Astyanax mexicanus: one gene and its partners. The protein of the gene in region 3 purifies or fractionates together with the protein of the main gene of each other region. This does not show direct contact. Links are inferred from orthologs where the notes say so. Each region holds a gene or a part of one and is shown on either strand. Other genes may lie near its edges.

Evidence for each region.
Region 1: the proteins of atp6v1ab (region 3) and atp5f1c fractionate together in Homo sapiens (co-fractionation; 3 studies listed by BioGRID). This does not show direct contact. The link is inferred for Astyanax mexicanus from reciprocal best matches to the Homo sapiens genes ATP6V1A and ATP5F1C.
Region 2: the proteins of atp6v1ab (region 3) and atp6v1f fractionate together in Homo sapiens (co-fractionation; 3 studies listed by BioGRID and IntAct, with this or other methods). This does not show direct contact. The link is inferred for Astyanax mexicanus from reciprocal best matches to the Homo sapiens genes ATP6V1A and ATP6V1F.

Annotation. Positions count from the first base shown.
Region 1 is NC_064409.1:21,088,478-21,096,225, reverse strand, and holds the start of atp5f1c (ATP synthase subunit gamma, mitochondrial), read right to left. Parts: upstream 3,073-7,748; 5' UTR 3,003-3,072; coding exon 2,962-3,002; intron 2,461-2,961; coding exon 2,426-2,460; intron 724-2,425; coding exon 592-723; intron 210-591; coding exon 5-209; intron 1-4. Other genes in the region: kin (DNA/RNA-binding protein KIN17), read left to right, coding at 3,997-4,110, 5,082-5,176, 6,602-6,645, 6,768-6,890, 7,631-7,748.
Region 2 is NC_064409.1:35,732,048-35,739,443, forward strand, and holds atp6v1f (V-type proton ATPase subunit F), read right to left. Parts: upstream 2,791-7,396; 5' UTR 2,684-2,790; coding exon 2,526-2,683; intron 1,384-2,525; coding exon 1,182-1,383; 3' UTR 545-1,181; downstream 1-544. Other genes in the region: ragulator complex protein LAMTOR4, read left to right, coding at 4,250-4,252, 4,641-4,721, 4,858-4,975, 6,198-6,295. UniProt on the Homo sapiens protein: Subunit of the V1 complex of vacuolar(H+)-ATPase (V-ATPase), a multisubunit enzyme composed of a peripheral complex (V1) that hydrolyzes ATP and a membrane integral complex (V0) that translocates protons.
Region 3 is NC_064408.1:95,984,513-95,992,260, forward strand, and holds the start of atp6v1ab (V-type proton ATPase catalytic subunit A), read right to left. Parts: upstream 3,055-7,748; 5' UTR 2,928-3,054; intron 672-2,927; 5' UTR 657-671; coding exon 575-656; intron 66-574; coding exon 1-65. Other genes in the region: naa50 (N-alpha-acetyltransferase 50), read left to right, coding at 5,435-5,442, 7,680-7,748. UniProt on the Homo sapiens protein: Catalytic subunit of the V1 complex of vacuolar(H+)-ATPase (V-ATPase), a multisubunit enzyme composed of a peripheral complex (V1) that hydrolyzes ATP and a membrane integral complex (V0) that translocates protons.

The DNA of each region.
Region 1 (7,748 bases), on a different chromosome or scaffold from region 3:
GTACCTGTACAGCAGACCCCTCAGCTTGTCTCCCACATTCACCACCATCACCTCTTTGCCAGCACCGGAGAGCTTGGCGATTTCATTCTTCATGGCTTTAGCCACGCTGCTGTGGATGGCACCGCACAGCCCACGATCAGACGACACGCCAATGAGCAAGTGCTTGTTCTTATCATCTGTAGCCTTTATGTCAGCCTTCTCATACAGCGCTGCAACACACACAGTACAAATATTACAGTGACAATAAATCACAATAACATCACAGTATGAATGAAATCACAATATGAGCTAATGAAAGCTGAGCTGCTGTATATATCTAAATAGGCCTGTTTCCCCCCCCCGCCAGAGATATTTTTAACATAATGACAATACAATTAAATCATTCTTTATGAACAAAACTTGTTGTATCAATGTTGTGGCATCACAGCATGGCAGCGATAAAGCACCATACTGTCAAGATTATTTGAGTTTGGGAAACTCATTCTGCACATTTGTGATTTGTCAGCAGGTCTCATTGGTGGATTATAGTCTGATGTTATAGCAATGAGATATTTTGCAATTAACAGGCTAAATCTATTCAAGGAAACTTACAGAGAGCACCAGTGCCATAGACACGAGCTGGCTTCAAGGCCCTCTCAGCCCTAGCATACTTGGCGGCGGCCACCATCTTCATGGACTTGGTGATCTTCTGGATGTTCTTGACGGACTTCAACCGAATGGTGACTAAAGATCAAAACAGAAAAGAAATGAACAAAAACGCATCACCGGGTCATACCCCCAGTCAGTCAATATGCCATAAAACAGATGTTACATGCAAGCAAATCAACACAATTAAACTGAATAACATTAGATGCACAATGATATCGGAATTATATCAGTAATTGCTGATAAATGCTTTTTTCCTCCCATTATTTCCAACCTGGTCCTCGCTAAAGCATGAATTGTATGCTGGAAAAGGACCAAACACTGTGGCTACTATGGCACTATGGCTACAGTGATGTTCACTGGGGGCAAACAGAACAGCTCTGCTAGGAGTTCTGAACTTCATAACTGAAGACCAGAGTAATACAGTACAGACATCATACATGTCATATCAAACAGTAGAACCGTCCATATGTAGCTACTAGCCAGCAAAGTTACATCTTAAGGACAGCACAAAATAGCCATTCATTAATCTCAGAAAACAGTTAGCATGCAGGCTAACATGCTCCAGTCCTTACTGCTAAAGTTAGCTGTAAACTAGCATTCCAGCATTCTGTGGTCAATAACTAAAGAACGGAGTGAAATATAGCCATAATCCACTTTTTTATTAAACCACAGATCCTACTAATCTAAACAGCACAGTGCTATCCATCTGTTATCAAACAATAGCTATTAATTCAATTCAGAAATCAGTTAGCATTATGGCTAACCTGCCAGTTTGGGTTTCACAATAAAAGTCTCATGGCAAATCGTATTAAAATGTAAAACCAGCATTTCATTTTATTTGGACTATTTTATTTTATTTGAAACTAACTAAGTAAACTTTTGATCAAAATACAAAATACAAAAAAAACACGTTACTAAAGGTTAATATTTATATCACCTAATATGCCAAGATTTTTGTCAACTGTCTGCCTGACATTACACCTCTAAATCTTGAGGATTTCTATTCTAACATTACAAAAAAAGCTTTAATGTTTTATAAGGAACATTACTGAAAAGCAGAATTGTAATTGTAATAGAAAATATTTAAAAAATATTTACTTAAATATGTCAAAATATAACGAATAAAATCTTAAAATTGTTTTATTCCTAAACTTCATTTTAAAATCAATATTTTCCTGAATATAAATGAAACTGTTCATCTCCTCCAAAACATTCCTTACATTTTCAGACATGCATAATTTGGGTTTGATTCCTGTCACTGACCTGGAATTATTTAGTGGAGTAGAGCATGAACAGGTAGCTCAAGTGTCCAGTTGGATTTTAAAGGCCTCAAATTTTCAGAATGTAAATAAGTTATTTTACTGCAATAAAAATAAGTATTTTGCATCTTCTATAAATGCTTTGTAATTTTTAGGTAAATAAATATGCAGCTTTAAAAAAAAGTCCTTACATACAAATACATACAGTACATCAACTGACTGAGGTTCATCACAAGGAGCTTTTAAGTCAATTATCCCTCAGCTATTTTTTCTACTTAAAATTGTACAGTTTAAAACACTTTAACAGCAGCACAAACAACTAATTTGTAGTATTTAGATATAAAGTCATAAAAGCTATACTGATGTGTAGTCTGTGTGTATCAGACATATCAGTGTGTATATCAGATATATGCATCTGTACAGAATTCCCACATCATTGCATCCCAAACTAAAATAGATAATTATATGTTTAATGAAAATCTCTGTATGTATAAATATAAATGCTTTAGTTTACTTACTGTCCTTCAAGGTAGCCATGTTCCTGACCTGCCCACTGCAACAAGGAGAGGATTCAATCAGTTATATTAAACAGCTTCAGTTTTCTTATAGGGACCAGCATCACTTACATTTTACACTTAAACTATCTATATATTTAGGCCCTAATACTAGATGATATGAAGCAGTCATCAAGCATGTGTAGCTCTAATACAAACAGGTCAAACTGCTAAACCCAACTACAATTTACACAGCTATTTAACTATGTAAACCCGTGTGTTAATTATTTTATTATATTTTGGGTAATATAGGGCAGTGGATAAATGCAGAGGGTTAATATTGATTATAATACTCAGACTGGTGAAGTTCACACTCTCAGGCTTAATCCAGCCGTTGACGTTAAGCTACTGAGGCCTACCGGGACCGGCTCGTCCTTGCGAGCTTCTGACCCGAATAACAGACAGAACCGGGCCCTGAACACCTTCACTGCACAGTAATACTGCTTTACACAATGTCATTAATCAGAAAATGTAAAAATGAAGAGTTTTAAAGGCTTTACCATTGTGGGAGGAACACCACCGCGCTGGCCCTGCAGAACATGTTCACTTCCAATGAAGGTCAGACTGGCCGCACTGCGCATGCGTACAGCGCCTACAAAATGTCGAATCCGGCTGACGTTCGACTCAGTTTACTGAACCGATTCTTCAGGTGATTCAGGTTCTTATTCAAAAACGGTAGATTCACGTTTGAATCGACTCACTTTAATAATATATTAAACGTTTAATAAAAAAAATCAAAATGGTATACTACTGTGGATTACATTTATGAATATTTAATAATTATTTTAAAAAGTCAATCTGTGGGGAAATTCATATCAACCATTAAAAAAATATATATTTGATTATTTGTTATTTTACACACATTTAATATTATTTAAAGCTTATTTTTTTAAATCAGGCTTAAAACCTACTTATATCTGCTGAAAACATACAGGTACATTACATTTGCAAAACTACATTTCTAATTAAGTTTCCTAATTTAGATTATGATTTTTTAGGTGACGTTTTCTGTACATTTATAATGATGTTTTTTATTATGATTTGAAATGAATATTTATTTACTGTATATACATTTAATGTGTAGGATTATATAAAATCCCCCTTTTCGTCGAATGAAGCTATGTGCTGTTTTTGATGCGCAATGGAGAAAATTACGTTATATTTTATTAAATTAAATTAAAACATCAGACTGAAGGAAAAAATACTTATTAAGAGTACTCACCGTATTAAAAGTCTTCAGTCCATAATTTAGTCGTAAACAACAGAAATCTTTACTAAAGCTTCACAGTTTGGGTAAAAAAATTGAAAAGGTTTGACTAATTGAAAGGAACCGATTCAATGGAGTGATTCATTCTGTTCTCTAGCTATTACAGATACACACGAAGTGATGACGTAGAGCGCATACACACACAAACACGAAGCGGCGAGGCAGAAGAACAGAACAGAAACGCAGGAACGGGGCTCTGGAACTGTTAACTAGTTTAGTTTAATAGTAAATTAACGCTTTGTTTATAGGTGTGTAGTCAGGGTTGAACATGGGAAAGGCGGATTTCCTGAGCCCTAAAGCGATAGGGAACCGAATTAAAGCTAAAGGGCTGCAGAAGCTGCGCTGGTACTGTCAGATGTGCCAGAAACAGTGTCGAGATGAAGTGAGTTAACTACAGTTTTCCTTTATTAAGTAGCTGTTAGTTAGCTTAGGTATATTAGTGTTATTTTTATTTTAGTTTCTGTACGGTTTTCTGTTTTCTTTGGTTGTAGTTTATACACTTTGATACGTGATGAGTGTCTGAGTATCGTGATATTGACAAACTCTCATATATAAATTCTAAGCTAGCTAACTAGCTAACAAACGTTATTTACGTTACTGAGTCATATTAGTGTAAAATATACACAAAGCTGTTGTGACACACTTACTCATAGTTTTTTTTAAGTAAAGGGTATTAAAACATAATTTACGCTGCTTTTGTTGGAGTCACTGTCTTTATATTTAGGAAAGACTTTTTCTAGATTCAGAAAATATTACTGTAATATTTCCCCAGCTTCCCAACTAATCTTATTCAAAAGTATTGGATGGAGCTCCATCTTTTCAGAGAACACAGTTCCACTGCTCTACATACTTGGGGTTTAGACCCTTTTAGCTAGAGTAGAATGCTCTGTGCTGGGCTAGAGATTAAATTCAACCCAGACCAAAATTTATGTAATGATATATGTCTTCATCATAAAATTATATAATTTTCTATATTGATGTAAAAGCCATTGCCCTTGGTGTAGGTAATCACACACTGATAGAACTGAGCGATACTGCAAAAATATTACATCACCGCATTTAAAGATAATCTTACGGTACTTAGTATTTTATAGTGTTTTTTGAAGAGATACAATGCTCTAAAATTAGCTAATTAACCAGCAGCTAGGTTATTAAAATGTAGAGCTCCAACACTGTATATCTGTATCTGGATCTTGAAGGGTTGTCTTAATTTTTAGTGGGAGGATTCTTATTTAAACTCTGTTCCAAGGGGAAGTGTTCCACTCAAACAAAGGGGTAGGAATTAGAATTGTGCCATAGTATACCGTCCAATGCTTAGAACAGTGATGTTGATGCTCTGTCTTTCTCAATTAGAATGGATTTAAATGCCACTGCATGTCCGAGTCCCACCAGAGACAGCTGCTGCTCGCCTCTGAGGATCCCAACCAGTTCATGAGCTACTTCTCAGAGTGAGTCCCCCTGTTTCTGAAGGTCACCAGTAGGGGTGTCACGATTCTCTAAATCCTCGATTCGATTTCATTTTCGATTTGAGGGTCACGATTCGATTCGATTCTCGATTTTCTTGTTTTTTTTTTCTTGTTATTATTTTATGCCTCATAAAATTTAAATAATATATTTATTATTATTATTATTATAAATATTATAAATATTATTATTATTATTATTATTTATTAAGATATATATGGTAATGCCATCTAGTGACTTTTTTTGGTAGCAACAGTGTGCACTATTAAAACAAGCAGTTTATCAGAGCTGTGTGTGGATGGCTGGTGAAACTGCTCATTACATGAAGCTGCAGTTCTTCATCCAACCACTAGCAGCAGCAGCACCCCGCTCTCTTCACTCAGTCACTACTTCAGTACAGCCCAGCCACGGGCTACAGAGCTCAGCCAGTCCGTTTTTACTGTTTCTGTAAACAAATAAAGGTTTTAACCCCACTAACCGGATAATACAGCTCACTACAGTTCATCTTTCAGCCCAAGCAGCTAACAGCAGCAGGTTAGAACAGTCGACACGGAGTCACTGCTCGGATTACATTATAAACAGGTCAGTTAGCGCGCTGCTAACCTCAGGATGTTTATAACTACGGAGTTTAGTGGACACACCACGGCCGCCAGGTAAGTCTTTTAAAGGCTACTGAAGACTATTAAAGGCTATTAGAGGTTATTGAAAGCATTATTGGGGGGCAGAAATCAGTACAGGCTGGTTAGATAAGTGATGTTTATTAACGTCATTAAAACAGATTTTGTCAGGTATTGTCTTATAAATATTTACACATAACTTATATCTCTCCTGAAAAGCTTTTATTTTAGTCAGAAACACGCTTGTGTTTACTTTATCTGAGAGAAAGATGTTTTTTTAATTCAATGGAAAGCAACAGGTGTAGTCAATTATAAGTTTAAGATTTTTAATCCACCTCACTGTGATCTATAGTCAGTGTTCTCAAGTCACACTGACACACGCATTTCAGCGAGTTCACACGCTCTCACCTGCGCGCACCCACCCCTCCGTTAGATACAGATACAAAACCTGCGCGCCCAACCCCCGCCCCCCCTCCCCCGTTGGACAGATAAAAACAGTGATCACACTCCCGCCGACTGCGCTCATGCAGCGGCTCTCTATTTAAATGAATAGGATGCGCTGTGTTGGTGCCGCGCCATTTGCGTAGCGCGCTGCGCTATTTGCGTAGCGCGCGCAGGAGGGATCGTCGATCCTCTTTTTGACTTCGATACTCGAGATCGTGACCTCATTTAGATTCGATTTCGATAAAATATCGAGATCGTGACACCCCTAGTCACCAGTCATTAATACAACACTACTTACGTTAATAATCTGTGACTGAAGTTGATAACCTGTTTTAATTTTCTGTACAGGGAGTTTAAGAGTGACTTTCTGGAGCTGCTGAGAAGACGTTTTGGTGAGGCATGGTTTCATGTGATGATCAGCGTATTAAATGATGGTTAAATGATCAGTATGCTGTTATTTACTCTCAGTAATACCTGTCTGTTAAACAGGGTCTGTGTTTTTGTGTGTTTACAGGGACGAAGAGAGTCCACAACAACATTGTATATAATGAGTACATTAGTCACCGGGAACACGTTCACATGAACTCCACTCAGTGGGAGACCCTTACAGATTTCACCAAATGGTTGGGGAGAGAAGGTAAGCACAGAAATATACAAACATGTTTGAGTTATGCATTTAATGAAACAATTGCGGGTACATATGTGACACTTTACATGGAGGAATGTTAAACCCCTGCACAACTTAAGAAATGATATGTCCCATCCATTTATACATATGTATCACTTACAGAGAGACTAGACATCTTGGTATACCTATAAAAGTAATAAAAAATAAATAAAAAATAGCTTTTTAAAACTATCACAGCCACTGTTATCCAGTTGGTCCTGCTTTTTGGGGCATACATTAAATACGTTAACTAGAATTGATTTTAAATATTGGCCATATCGGCTGATGCAGATGATTCTACAAAAAGCATTAATCGACCAATACAATATATCTCCGACATTACTGTGCATCCCTAGTCAGTGTGTGTAAATGACCTCTGTTCTAATTGTGCCCTGTTCAAAAAAGCAGCTGGGGCTGAAAAAAATATACAGAATAACTTATAACTTCAGAGTAAATGTTTAACGCCAAACTTGCTTTTTGTAATTGACTACTTTTTCTGTCTTTCTGACTTATAGTTTAGATTGACAGTGGTGCTATACATGGTGAAATACCATAATTATCGAATGTACAAAAAATAGAATGTACAAAGCATTTCGGCTTAGAGTGAGAATTACAAAGACACCATTCTTCTCCTCACTAGAGTCAGAGGAGCATCAACAAGACCCTGAAGGTAATACGTTATCTATTGTCTGACACATGTGCATATGTAGGGTTTTGTAAAGTGGACGAGACCCCGAAAGGCTGGTATATTCAGTACATCGACCGGGACCCGGAGACCATTCGCAGACAGGAGGAGCTGGAGAAGAAGAAGAAGCAGGATCTGGACGA
Region 2 (7,396 bases), on a different chromosome or scaffold from region 3:
GCAGCAAAGTGCATCAAAGAAGCAATATCATCAGTGATGAAAGAAGAGCATACAGAGATGAACTTCTAGATACATGCATATCACTGTCAATCACAGCAAGAGCTTTGTCAGTCTCCATACTGGTGCTCACATACAATGCATAGATAGGACAGGTAAGTGTTGTGTTGTGTTCATTTCCATACAGGAATGACACTAAAATAGTAGTGTTAATTTTGTGTGTGGCACTGGTATGAATGTATTATGTGGTATTGCCGGGGGTTTTGCTTTACTGAAGAGAAGCAACCTGATCCAACTACATCTCATTGTTATGTCTTGAAAAGATCTAGAATATTTTTACACCATATTTTGCACCACAATGCAGACCATTTTGTTTCTTATTCGTGAACAAGCTATTTTTTTCCTTTCTCCAATGATTGCATCAGTTCCTTTCGAAATGTATCCGAAAGTATTAAAGTTATCCATCCAATCTATTTTAGGGCCTAGGAAGAAATCAAAATAATGCACAAATTTCTGGTGAGAAAAGAAAAAACTGTCACAATGAAACCAGATTTGACATATGCTCTTTAATGAACATGAGACTCTCTCTTGCAGTTATTAACAAATAAGTTAACGCACATATGTATGGACATGAAGTAATATTGAAGGATTAATCAAATACAAAAACAAAACAAAGCAGGATGTATTATCATCAGGTCACCTAATATATGTATATAATAATATGTATAATATTTGATTAATAATTGTATAAATATTAATATTTGTTCATAATTTGATTATACACTCCTAAATGGAAGTTGCTGTAAGTAAAATGGAATGTTTGACAGCTCAGTCTAAATAAATAAACTTACAGATTTATAGATTATATCATTTTATAATTTACATATACCATTTATAATTTAAATGTGACTGAAAAAATATTTGGAATCACAGAATCACAAGTTACACAATCCAGTTAGGTGTTCGATCACTGGTACACACTTACCCCATTTCACTTTATCCAACATAACAGACAAAGACACTAAATAACATACACATTAACACTTACAGAAGTATTCTGTATTTAAACCAACTCAGGCAAGATATGGGAGAGAAATCCATCAAATATCAGCTGCTCTTCATCTAGCGCTATTCCTCTCCCATCTCCTGCCATGTCTAGGTCTTAATTCTTTCAGTTCTTTTTCTTATCGGAAATCTTCTGCAGAGAACATGCCCTTGGCCCTGCGCAGGATGGAGTCCTTGGAAGCGTCGTATGGGTGCTCTTTTGACGGGATTTCCAACACAGCGGGAATGGACTGCATATGGGCATCGATGGCATGGCGGATCATCTCTGCAATGAACTGGTTGATGAGGATGATGCCAATGTCACTGCGAGCCAGGAAACTCCTGTTTCAATAAATAAACAAAATAAATGATACTTGTAAACCAGATTTTGATCTACAACAAATATCTTATATAACATTATGCAGGGAACCAATAGGGTGAATGGACATCATCTTTAATTGTGTTACACTGTCCAGCATGTTTATTTACACTGCTGTGGTTAACATCTACAGAACGCTTTTAGAAATACAATGAAGCTGCTTTTGGTGCAACACAGTGCACTGTGGCAGGCTGCAGCTCTCTCCATTAAAATGAAAAGACCACGTTGAGAAATGTCATGATTCCATCAGGCAAACACTAAGCAAATACTTTGTACATGGCAGAATAGGAAAGAGGAAGTCTGTTCAAGACATCACTCAGTTCAAGTTGTTTTGTAAGGAGGAATAGCCAAAAATTTCCCCAGATTATTGTGCAGAATTATACACCAAATGGGCTGCCAGAAATGTTTGAAGTTGTAGCTGCTCAGAGGGGTCACAGTAGTTATTGAATGCAAGGGCACACATTCTTTCTTTAAAAAAAAGATACTTAGTATTGGATAATTTGCACCCATCTCAGTTGGGTTTAGGTCAGGGGATTGATATATATATATATATATATATATATATATATATATATATATATATATATATATATATACACACAATGGTTTTGACAAAACATTTTAACTTATCGACAACCTATGTCAACGTTATGCTTAAATAAGCACTTCCAGTTTATTTATAGAGCCCTCTCTTCACAATACTGCTATACTCTGTATATATGGATACTGACATACAGGTTAATAGCTAACCCAGATTATTTTAGTTTAGCTAGGCTAGCTGCCTTTATATTGCTAGTTTATTTGTTCTTTAACCGTTCAATAGTTAATTAAATATCTATATGTTACACTAAACTAAAGACACATGGGTCGAACCCACAAGTAACAGTAAATTAAAGCAGGTTTAGCACCCTTTAGCTACTGCTCTTAGCTGCGCCTATAAAGCTAGCTTAGCATGCTAGTTGGCATAGCTAATACGGCTAAAGTGGGGAAACGATCGACGCTTAAATCAGTTCCTCTATAAACATTTCAGACTGAGGACGGTGAGATAAGACTGAAACAGAGCGCGGCGCTGGTGAAGCTCAGGAGGAGGAAAATAAGGTCTTACTTGAAGGTCTCCTCTATCTCTGTGATACTGGTGTCCTTCTCCACCACCAAGAAATTGGGTTTACGGTTCTTGTTGAGCTCTCCGATCCCCCCCAGCAGGAAGCCCGTGCAGGTGTCCTCATCCCCGATCACTGCGATCAGCTTACCCCGTCCAGCCATGGCGGATCGCGGCGGTGAGAAGAAATATCAGCAAATAACAGACAGAAATCTATCCGCCTACTCCTGCTGCTGTCTTCACCCTGGATCATATGCTGCAGTCAGCTGACCAGCACTTCCGCTTTACCTTCCACAGCAGAGCTAAAATAGCTGACTGATCTCAGATCAGACTCAACACCACCAGCACTGCTGCTGCCAGATACTACTCAGGGCATTACTCCAGAATGCACAGACCCAGGGCCAGGGCTAGCCATCCAGGCTCCCTAGGCAAAATTCTTTGTGGTGCCCCAACCCACTTTTTTTTCCTTAGTTTGAGCTCTCATTACTCCACAATGCTACAGTAATACTTGATACTTATGTCATTAGTAGAATAGAAAGGCTTCTTTGAGAATGTAATGGTATCTTTTAATAACAGTTTGATTAGCTGGTTTTATAGAACTCCAAATCTGGTTTATGCAAAACCAAATGGGCATTTTTTTTCTAGGTTTAACGTCCCATTATTCCAGAATGCTATAGTAATATCACATTAGCTATTATAACATGAGAATGGGATCTTTATTAATTTAGTGGTCTGATATGATAACTCTTTGATTTTCTTGTTTTATAGGACCAAATTCTGATCTATATACAACCAAATAGGCAATTTTCATACATTTGCCGTCCCATTCATTAAATTTCTTACAGTATGATTACTTGAACATACATAATGAAAATATAATAAGTGTTCTTCCGTAGTAAGGGTCGCCACCTATCAGAAATGAAAATAAGGGACACCCACCAAATAAATAGATGATTACAAATATATGTTTATATACATGTATATACATATATATGTGTTCATTAACTTATTTATTACTGGACAGCACTTTGGTCAGAGTTTGTTGTTGTAAAATGTGCTTTATAAATAGAATTTAGATTTTATTTTATTTTTTTTATATTTTGTTTTTTATTTTAGTGTTCTTTATTTATTTTTTGTTTTTATCTATTTTCTTATTAAGCTTTGCTTGTTTATTTATTTTTATTTTGTTTATTTTAGTTTATTTTTTTCATTTATTTATATTTATTTTTATTTAGTTAGTTAGTTTTTCCTTTTATTTTCTTTATTTATTATTATTTTTTTCTTACTATATTGTTGTTTTCTTATTTTATATTAGTTTAGTTAAGTTAATTATTTTCTTTCTTATTTTCTTTCTTATTTTTGTTTATTTTCTTATTTGGTTTTGCTTGTTTTGTTTTTTTTACTAGTTTATTTTACTATAGTTTATTACTATTATTATTATTATATTATATTATATTATTATTATTGTTTTAGTTTAGTTTAGTTTATTATTTTATTTTAGTTGATTTATTTTATTTTATTTCGAGTTGATTGCACGTAGAACAAAAAAACTGAAGATACTTCACAAAGTAGTAGTAGGAGATGATTTTATGTCAGTAGGCGGCGATGTGTTCACACACCATGTGACTCACCACTACAGAAGAAGCCTCCAGCGTCACGTGAGAGACACAAGACGGAAAATAATAATCGTTTGTATCTGTTCCTGATCTGACCTGAGGGGAGGACCGACCATGGTGTGTGAATTTGCTTTATTTTCTCTTTTAAATAGTAGATTTTTCTTTAATAGAGACTCTCTGATGTGTGTTCTGTTGGTAGAAGCTCTCCGGGGTGTGTAGTCAGCTGTCAGCTGTGTGTGTTTTGTTAATAACTGTAGTTCTGTAGTTTTCTTTCACTCTTCTCTGCTGCTCCTGAAACAGCCCCTAAACAACACATCACATCCAGTAGTTACACATAGTGTCTTTATTCACTGTTTGTCTTCTGGAGATTGAAGTTGTTTTAATGTTATAAAGCTGGTCCTATTTTCTCTCTCTCTCTCTCTCTCTCTCTCTCTCTCTCTCTCTCTCTCTCTCTCTCTCTCTCTGTCTCTCTCTCTTCCTCTCCCTCTCCCTCTCTCCACTGAAGACCACAGCACTGACTCAGGGTCTGGAGAGAATACCTGATCAGATAGGATATTTGGTGATCAGTGAGGATGGTGTACTTGCAGTAAGTGTTACTCATTACTATATGTACACAAAAAAATGACTTTTTTTCACTTGTAGCAAATTTAACAGAGCTGAAGAACATAAGCATTAAATTGAGAGTTCACAGGAGGCTTTTTCTGTGCTTTTTTCCCTCTCAGTCTTCAGGAGAGCTGGAGAACGATGAGCACACCGCAGGGGTTATCATGCAGATGGTCCGAACAGCTTGTCGCTTCAGGCTTCATGGAGCAGCAGAGCCACCTTTCAAGCGCATGTCAGGTTAGAGATTTTGAATGACCATAAATCTCTGTATACCAGGGTTCAGATTCTCAAAGACCACTTCAAAATTCAAGCAGTTCAGCTTAGTTTAATGGCTTGTGTTTTTCATCTGTTTCTCTGCATATTGTGTCGGCCTCCTTTCACACTGTTCTTCAATGATCAGATTATCATTCTCAGCATCACACTGATGGTGATGGTGTGTTAGTGTGTGTTTCGCTGGTATGACACTCTATGTTCACTCTATTAAACAATTCTACCTAGCTGCTTCACCGTGTAGATGTAAAGTTAGAGAGAGAAGCTCTTTGGTGCTGCAAAGTTTGTTGGTCATCTTTGAGCCTCATCTGTATATGCAAAGGTTTGAAAGTCAAAGGTTTGGACACACATTAAATTTAGTGTATTTTTTATCAGGATAAAATTATCTGCCTTGTAGATTAATACTAAATTTAACTATGAAGAAAAACTTGGAATTATTTAGTAAAAAGTGTTAAATAAACCAAAATATGTTTTATATTTTAGATTCCTCAGAGTCACTCTTGCTCTTGCTTTGCACATCTTGGCTGGATTTTGTCAGTCAGCTTTATGAGGTAGAATCACCTGGAATGGCTTTCAGTTAACAGCTGTGCTGAACGTGTCAAGAGTTAATTACATGAATTTCTTGCCTCTTAATGTGTTTGAGAGTATCAGATGTTTAAAGTGAATAGCCATATAGTTCTTCCATATTATGGCAAGAAATACTCAACTAAGTAAAGATAAAAATACTTTATGTTGAATACTTGAACTAAATCTGAAAAATTCCAAGAAATTTGAAAGTATCCTCAAGTGCAGTTGCAAAGACCATCGAAAAAATTATGATGAAACTGGCTCTCATCAGAACCACCCCAGGAAGGGAAGACCAAAAGTTACCTCTGTTGCACTGCAAGAAATTGCAAGTTAACAGCACCCATCTAAACGATTCACACAATATTTTGGTTTGTTTAACACTTTTAAGTTTACTACATGATTCCTTCTGTGTTCCTTCATAGTCTGAATGACAACGTAGGGAAAAACAAAATAATAAAAACATTGAATGATAAGGTCTGTCCAAAACCTGCCCAAACCACAGAGCAACCTGCTTAAAGTTATCCTGTTTCAAATCATTAGTTGATTCAATGCATAGTTAATGACTGGTTTTACACAAATAATAATGTTGTAATATCACACTCTTTGTATTTTTTGTCCACAGTGATGTTCGAGGACTATATTTATGCAGTGACGATTTCTGGACAGAAAGTCTTTGTAGTGAAACGGCAGAACAACCAACGGGAACCTGTTAATGTCTAGTAGCGAGGTGCCGTTACAAGTTAACGGACTACACACACGCTTGTAAAGTGCCATCTGTTTAAATAACACACATATATAACATGATAACAATGTAAAGTTAAGAAGAGTCATACTGTAATTCTTATAGTGTGCTTTTTTTGTCTACAGTTAGGGATTCATTTTCTAGTTGCATTTTCCCCCACAACTGGTGGTAATAAATGGCATGAAAATGTGGTCTATATAATTGTTCTCACACTTCACAGAAATATTGCACATATCTGTGACATTTTCACAGTGACTGTAACAGCGTCTCACTTTTGCAAAACCTATTTGAACTACTTTTTAAAACGAATTGAATTGATTAAGCTCCCCTTTTATAAGTATATGACATCTTTTGGGTTATGTCCAGTTGTCCACATAATCCAGAGGCACTTCTGCTTTTTTCTGAGGATGATGGCACTGATCTTTTATTATTATAGATATGTGTAATTTTCTCTGTGGGTTTGATGATCTATACAGCCCTGAAGATCAGGCTGTTTATTCTTTGTTTGTTCCAGCTCTTCCAGAAGTGAAAGTAGCTAATGTCTGTATTTAACAAACCTTTATTAAATTACTGCTTTTTAAAAGTAATATCATGAACTAATTTCTCGGTTTTGCTGTTTAATATTGCTTCTGCTAATTTATGTTCATGTTCTGAGTAAAGTATTATTGCAAGTGCTGGTGGGTAGCAGGGGGAAGCAAGCAAATGGTTTTCTTAGATGGGTCAGCCCGGAAGTAACTGAGACGTGATGTGTTTTATTAACAGTGCTGAGCCCATTCTGTGGGTTGTTGGAGTTGATTTAAAAGGTAGAATAAAATATTATAAAATAATCTGCTGTGAGTTGATCATTTAGCACTGTAACACTGTGACCTTCCCTTTGACTGATGACTCGTCTAAGAGGTAACAAAGGACCCCACAACAACATCCAAAGAACTGCAGGCATTATTTGCCTCACTTAAGGTAAGCGTTCATGACTCCACTGTAAAAAAGAGTCTGGGCAAAAATGGTCTGCATGGCAGTGTTCCTAGACGAAAACCACTGCTGAGCAAAAAGATCATGCTTGTCTTAATATTGCCAGGAAA
Region 3 (7,748 bases):
CTCACTGTGGCCCACACGCACCAGCTCGTACATAGCTGCCCCAGCCATGCTGGAGGCCGTCACCACTGTGAGGGACACACACAGATACAGGTCACTTACATGTAGCAAATCATGTACTATGACCTATAGAGCAAAGCAGTACAACAACTTTAAAATGCACAAACTGCAAAATTCAGGAACAATTATGTCAATAATTTAAAACCATACTGGTTATACATAGATATAATTCTAATTTAATTACCAGAAATGTAACAAAATAAATAAAGAAAAGATCTTACTTAGTCATTTAGCTGACACTAAAAGTAAGATAAATAGTACTGAAAATGATTAGAATGTTAAAATGTGTTATTCAGAAATACAGTGATTAAATATGGCCCGGCTAAAAATTAAACTAAAAGGGCCAAAAATATTGCTATTACATTTTTGCATAACACATACAGGACACATCAATCCATATTTTTGCGACAGCAGCGCACACTTAATCAATCTGACTGACAAATAAAGCATTGAGTAAATTGGAAAAAAAAAAGAAAAAAACATTACTGTCATTCCACACTATAGACAGATTACTGACCAGGTCCGGACACTCCGTGCACATATCCAAACTGTCCCTCCCGCTCCTCATCTCGAATCTTGGGCAGCTTGGAGAAGTCCATCTTAGAAGTGTGTGTCTAAAATGCAGACAGAATGTGAAGGTGGGCACCATTAGTGAAATACAACAGATTACTGACAATTATAGAGGTATTAGATTACATCAGATTATAGCATAAGCAAAAATTAAAGCTTTTAATTGTCAGCTTTTAAACTGAGAATGTCCTCAAGCTTTATGCAAAAAGAAACAAAAATATTCCTGTGAAGCATTAGAGGGTTTCTGTTCTCCATTTGTTTGATTTCTCCTATTGTGGGTTAACTTGTGACTTTTAAAGCTGGATGGACAGTTACAGAAAGTCTAACTTTACACTAAATTCTTTCATCACAGAAGTAGACCTACCTAATTATTAATGATCAATAATCAAAGATGTCAGAGCATAATTTGTACTAAAAAGCACAAACTATTGAATATAGTAATTAAACTTGATAATGAGAGTTTATTTTATATATTTATTCATTTATTCATGCACACACACCTTAAGGCTTGTTCAATATTTAAGTAAAGTTTATTAATACAAAAATCCTCTTAGTTTATATGAACAGTTATATATGCACCAGATTGTGTGATATTTCTGGGGCAGTGATACAGAAATGTCACATGATGATTACCGTGACTGGCTGTAAAGAGGAAGGGGCTAAACAGACAGTTGAGTAATTCTGGAGAGTTTGCACTCATCCCCAAGATTAGCATTAATAGCTGTAGGGAAACAACCAAACCAAGCAGTTTTAGTTCTCAGTAGTTTTCTAATGTTTCATATAAAATACAATATATGAAAAAACAACCACTAAAACTACATGTGCAAATCGTTACAAAAAAACTAAAAGACCCTCTCATGCAACAAATTCTAATGTAAGATGTCTCATTTTTTTCAATATATGCGCTTTTAAATTTAATCAAGCCAACAAAAATCAGGCTAATTTGTCATTAAGAATGGGTGATATATGTTAAGTGCAACATGATAAATTAGACCATGACAGATTTTGCTAAGCTATATTTGGAGTGTGATATGTACGTCTAAATGAATAAATTAATCGTAAAAAGACAGATTAAGATCAAGCCTTTAAAGAACAACAAACAAATGGTAACAACTGCAAAAACTGCTGATTTGACATCCAATTATGACACTCATTTAATTCAATATATTTTTAACCAATGGCTTGTTTTCAGCTTTTTTTAATGTGCTGTTACTGCTTTGTGGTACTTGTTCAGAAAAAAAAAACACAGAAAGTTAAATATCATCATGCATTTCTTAAAGTATCTTAATATTTCTGGCATTACCACCCACCATCCTACCATGTGATCAACCAACACATGATGTAGGGTATGGACGGATTCTCTCCTGGTAAAGCAACATGATCTCCAGACAGAAACCTGATCGTGTGTGTATTGGTTACCTCGTTATAAGCTTTGCCAGTCAAAACATAAAGAAACAGCATATTTGAGCAGTGCTATAGCTGGCAGAATGCTGCAGTCTAGTATTTGGGCCCAAGCACAGTGACTGCAAGTCTCAGCACTGTCCAGTCACATGACCATGACAGGCTACTGATAACATTTACTGCGATTCTATCTTACAAATAAATGACATCAATACAGCGCAATATAGATACTTTTTAAACATGTCAATTTTAAATATGTTACAATAATTAATAACATGTAAAACTGGTGTGATGGAATTTCCTCCTGCTTTACATTTAACGAGATGACTTAAACGTAGTGTAACGTTAAGCGCATTACCTACTACATATGTGTATAATAAAAATGATAAATTAATTAATATTAATCAGAGACTGCATCGTGTATGTATACAATCCTGGGGCGAGCTTGTAGTTTCCCAAGGTTATAATGGGGGAGGTGCAAAAAAATCGCCAGTTTCATATTCGACCACCGCCGTTCCACCTTAAATACTGCATTGGTTCCATCAACATGCTTCAGGATCGTGTACTTATCTAATGCCCTATTTAAGGTGGAACGGAAATTTCCAACAAGAACCAGGCGATTAAGCAGCTAATTTCAGTCACACACAAATTTCAGCCATTTTAACCAACTACCATTCCGTGTTAAATCTGTAAATAGAGAAATTAAGCCAATTCCCGCAAAAGCTACCATAGTTCATTTAAAGCATTTTGACCGCAGTTAACGTCAATGGAATACGACCGAGAAAAAGCACTGAACGTAGCAGGCTGGCTACCTGCAGCCGAGGCCGCCTTAAACCGACCGAATCAAAACACAGCGAGGAATAAAATAACCCTGACATCAAACTACAATCACTAAATACCTGAAATGATGAGGAGAAGCAGCGATCTGTCGAGTCCGTTCAGCTGAAAATAATGATGAGAAATCAGCAACCAGGAAGGGTCAGCTGACTTCATTCACTCGATGGTTGTAGTGCGCGGTGCTCAGAGATGGAGCTTCACTGCGCCACCTACTGCTATACGGTCAGTATAACGACGTGTTTGAGGCTAAATGCAAAAATGGATAATTGTATGTAAAACTCATTATTTGTCTTTTTTTAATGTTGTGCAGAAATAAGCCTTCATCCATTTTTCCCTTTTTAGATTTTTTTCACCTTTGCCCCTCACAATCGGAATTTCTTTACTATCAGGTTTGTGTTACAAGATACAAGAAATGACAAATCTGAAAGATCAAAAGAAGATTAACCGTTTCATTTTTCTTAAAATTAACTAGCTCTTTACCAGCATAGGGTATGTTTTTTCTGGATGATCTTGAGCTGGATTTTATTTTTTATTTTTTGCAGTAATAAAGAAGCATGTAAAACTATACAAATTTACTGTAATGTTTATACTAATTTTAAAAGATTAAGTTCAATAACGTTTACATTTTGTAAAATAGGTATCAGGTAACTTACAACATTGCACACTTAAATTAATTGTTGCTAAATATCGAATTTGTTAGATAGCGTTATTATAAGTATTTTCTTCGGAAACCTATGCTAAGGTATTTTAAGTAACTTATTTTAAATATATAAAAAAAAGAACTAACTTTTCTATCCGACCCGCATTTCACCCAGAGGTGTCACTGAGCCATAGAGATGGCTCTGATTTCACCTTACCTGTCAGGGACTTTTATTTTGTATACTGAAAGCTTCCATAATGTACGCCACGTCCTGTGCTTTATGTCTCCCCGCCGCTTGTGCAGGATGTGAAGTTCGATTCAGTGAATCGAACCGGTTCTTTGAGCTGAACGTTTTGTTTCAATGCATCAAACGTCCGAGTCAGCGATTCATTGATTTATGAGTCATGCCAACTTTATTCTAATGTCCTCCACACAGCAGAAACCAAGTTATACCAACTTTTATTACTGTTAGATCTGGTCTCTCTTGATAACTAAACTATTTAAAGTAAGTTTTGTCACGTGTGTTAAGATATGTATGTTTTTGTACGTTTAACAGAAGAAAACATAAAACAGCTCAGTAAAAAGAACGGTGTCAGGCTATTTTTTAATAAACTCCTTATGACATGAAATAAAAGATATTGACAGACACAACCGAGTATAATAGTGCATCTCTAAAAAATTAAATGTAATTGAAAAGTTACTCCATTTCAGTAATTTAGTTCAAAATGTGAAATTCGTATATAGATGTAATACACACAGAATGATCTATTTTATGCATTTATTTTTTTATTGTCAATAATTATGGCTTACAGCCAATGAAAACCCAAAAATCACTGTCTCAGAAAAATACAATATTATATAAGACCAATTGGTACTTTTGGCAGTGTGGGCAGTGTGCCAAGTCCTACTAGAAAATGAAATCCGCATCTCCATAAATGTTGTCAGCAAAGGGAAGCATGAAGTGCTGTAAGATTTTCTGGGAAAACACTACCTTTGACTTTGGACTTGATATAACACAGTGGACCAACACCAGCAGATGACATGTCCCTCCAAACCATCACTGACCCTCAGTAAATTTTGCATTTCATTTGGAAATCAAGGAACTAGAGTCTGGAGGAAGAGTGGAGAGACACACAGTCAAGCTGCTTGAGGTCTTGTGTAACGTTTCCACAATCAGTGATGGTTTGGAGAGTCATGTCATCTGCTGGTGTTGAAGTCGGTGCAGTGTTTTCATGCCCTGCTGACAACTTTTATGGAGATGTGGATTTTACACTGCCAAAAGTACCATTTGGTCTAATATAATATTCTAATTTTCTGAGACAATGATGTTTGGGTTTTTATTGGATGTAAAATAGAGCACACTGTGTGTTTTACATCTATATAATATGAGTTTCACATTTTAAACTGAATGACACTAGTTTATTTTCTCAGTGAATATCAGAACATTTCCCATTTTTAAATGTCTTCCCTCATTCAGCTATTTGAAGCCATAGAGAAAGATAGAAACAGAAATAATGACTGACAAATCAGAAAACTTATCTTTAAACAATTAATGTGAGAGGATGTCAGACTTCATTCTGTTAAAAAGTCTTTTCAGAGTCTTTTCAGTCGTGTAGTGTATGGACAGCAGTTAATAACGAAAATAGTCATCAGTTGCAGAAAACTCGAATAGCTGCCAAACACGAGATTCAGCGGGGTACTTTTGAACCGATTCGACTGATCTTCTCAAAAGAACCGACTCAGAAGAAGCGACTCGTTCACGAGTGACAGCAGCGGCGGAGTTGAGCGCTGCTAGTCCTTTAGCCAACATACATGTGGAGGGTCCGGAGAGAGGGTAGCTCTGCACAAACTTAGGACTAATCTTCTCCGGATCGGAAATATACTGTCGACGTCCTTCGCAGCGTTCACCTTATACGTGTTCTCTCCAACATGAAAGGGTGAGTAAAAACTCTGCGTTTGTTCATGGAGACTAAAAGTTTTTTCCCTCCTCCTCCTCTCTTCTTTCAGCAGGGGGAGGGGGAGCTGCTGGCCGCGCTAGCCGCCTCTCGGCGCGGGGTGAGAGGGGAGCGTTCACCACCGAGGACCCTGAATATTTTACTGAGAAAACCTTACAGACTGAAACGTGCTCTGTACAAATAAAGTCCACCCGCTGTTACACGAACCACGGTCCCAGCAGATACACCAAACCGCCGCAAAACCCCGTGTGATGTCTATTAGCTTAGCCTGAGCTGAAGTCTGAAAATGTTGAGTCAGACTATGAAAAGCTATATCGCTGGCTATCATGCTAAGCTAAGCTAAGCTAGATAGCTAGCTAATTCGCTAGCTAACCATGCCTGCTCCACAGTAGCTAATAAATGTGTCTGCCCATTCTTAGCTGACAAAGTAACCAACTACTTCAGCTAGCCAACTTTATAAGTATTATGTGTATTTATATTTCACTAACCGAACGTTTAGTTAACTAGCAAGCATTGAGATAAACCATTTGTGTTCTAAACAGTTTGTGAATAAAGGTGGTAGCTAGGTAACGTAGCTTAGCTTAGCTAGATATGTTGGCTAGCTAAATTCCCCACCTGCTTGCAGCAAGTTAGTTAACTAGCTAACTAAGCTAACGAGCATTGCTGTAGGTTATATTAGTTATTCAGTTCACTAGTACATGACAGACAGTGACGGGAGTGATTTTTTAAGTCAACAATCAGTCGACAAAGTTAAATACACAGGTAAACGTTGTTTAGCTATCATAGCTAGCTAAGCTAGCTACGTTACTTCCAGAACCAGAGTCCAGTCTAGTGATGTAGTTAGTTTACCTACTGATTAGTGTCACCTGTGAACTCTTAAGCCTGATACCTCAGTATTTTTTTTTTATTTATTCAGCATTTAACGTCACCTCAGTTCCCACAGAATGTCCCTTTCACTGCTCAATCCATGTCTATCTGGTGCTGATGCTCTTTCTGTCAGTCAGTGTCCCTTTAGTCACTTTGTGCTGAGCTAGTGAAATATTATGTATGTATACAAGTTGAGTTCAAGTCAAGTAGTTTTATTGTCAATACTGCGTGTGTACAGGAAATTACATTACTCTCCTTCCCAAAAAGATTACAAGAAAGTACAGAAAATAAGATTATAAATATTAAAGAATGGGAGACACTATATGTACAATACAACAAGGACACAGATAGACATACGTGAGACAAAAGACACAAGACAATAGTGCAATAGTGAGGGGGGTGTGATTAAAGAGGGAATGACAGTACAAGTATAAACAGAACCCGAGTTGAGTTAAGCTAATTCCTTTTTTTTGTGTTAAAATTAGTGTCACATTTTTGTGTAGTGTTAAAATTACATATTTTATATTAATGTCTTAGTCTATAAGACTAAAAGAGGAGGATTTAAATACATGCAAAATACAATGGCACTTTTGGCACTGTAAGAGGTGACATGCAAATAAGTCTGGGCGATATTGCAAAAAATACATACAAAATACATAGTATGCATTATAATGTTTTTTGCAAGTTGGTTTGCCAAAACAATGGATACTTTTTATAGCTTGCCTCTTAAGAAATAAACACTGTTTTGTTATTCTGCCTTTAAGACTTATATGCATATAACCTGTGATTTAACTGGTTGTGCTTCATTTAAAAAACAGTCCATGCTGCTGCCAGAAGAGAGGAAGTATGTGTGTACAGTATATGCATGTGTATTTAGTTTTTTTGACACAAAAACACCAAATTGAGAAGTTAAGCTGTTTGCATACAACATGCTTAAAAAAAATTGTGAACTTTTTGCTGTCCTCTCTTACCTTTTCCTACCACTGGCTGTGGGAGTGCAGGCCTAAAAACATGACATGCAGCTGTTATGTCGTCATGGTGCATTAGCATGCAGTCGCCCTATAAATACCTCTGTAGTTCTGGTGTCAAGTGCAGGCGACGCAAACTTGTGGTGAACACTACGACTGATAGTCGTGACAGTGTGCTGGGACAGTGGGGTCAAATCCTCGTAGACAGCTAATTGGGTTAGTTTGATTCCATTGAAATAAGCCTGAGTCTGTGAGAGGGCTCAGAATAACTTGAAATGAAGTCTTGCGGTTGTGCACAGTGGCATACTGCTTATTTAAAGTGTGTAGCGAAATGTATTCTAATAAGTAATGAACAACCAGTTGACCGTTCTGCTCTTGTTCCAGTAGCCGGATCGAGCTGGGGGACGTTACCCCCCACAACATTAAACAGCTGAAACGTCTGAACCAAGTAAT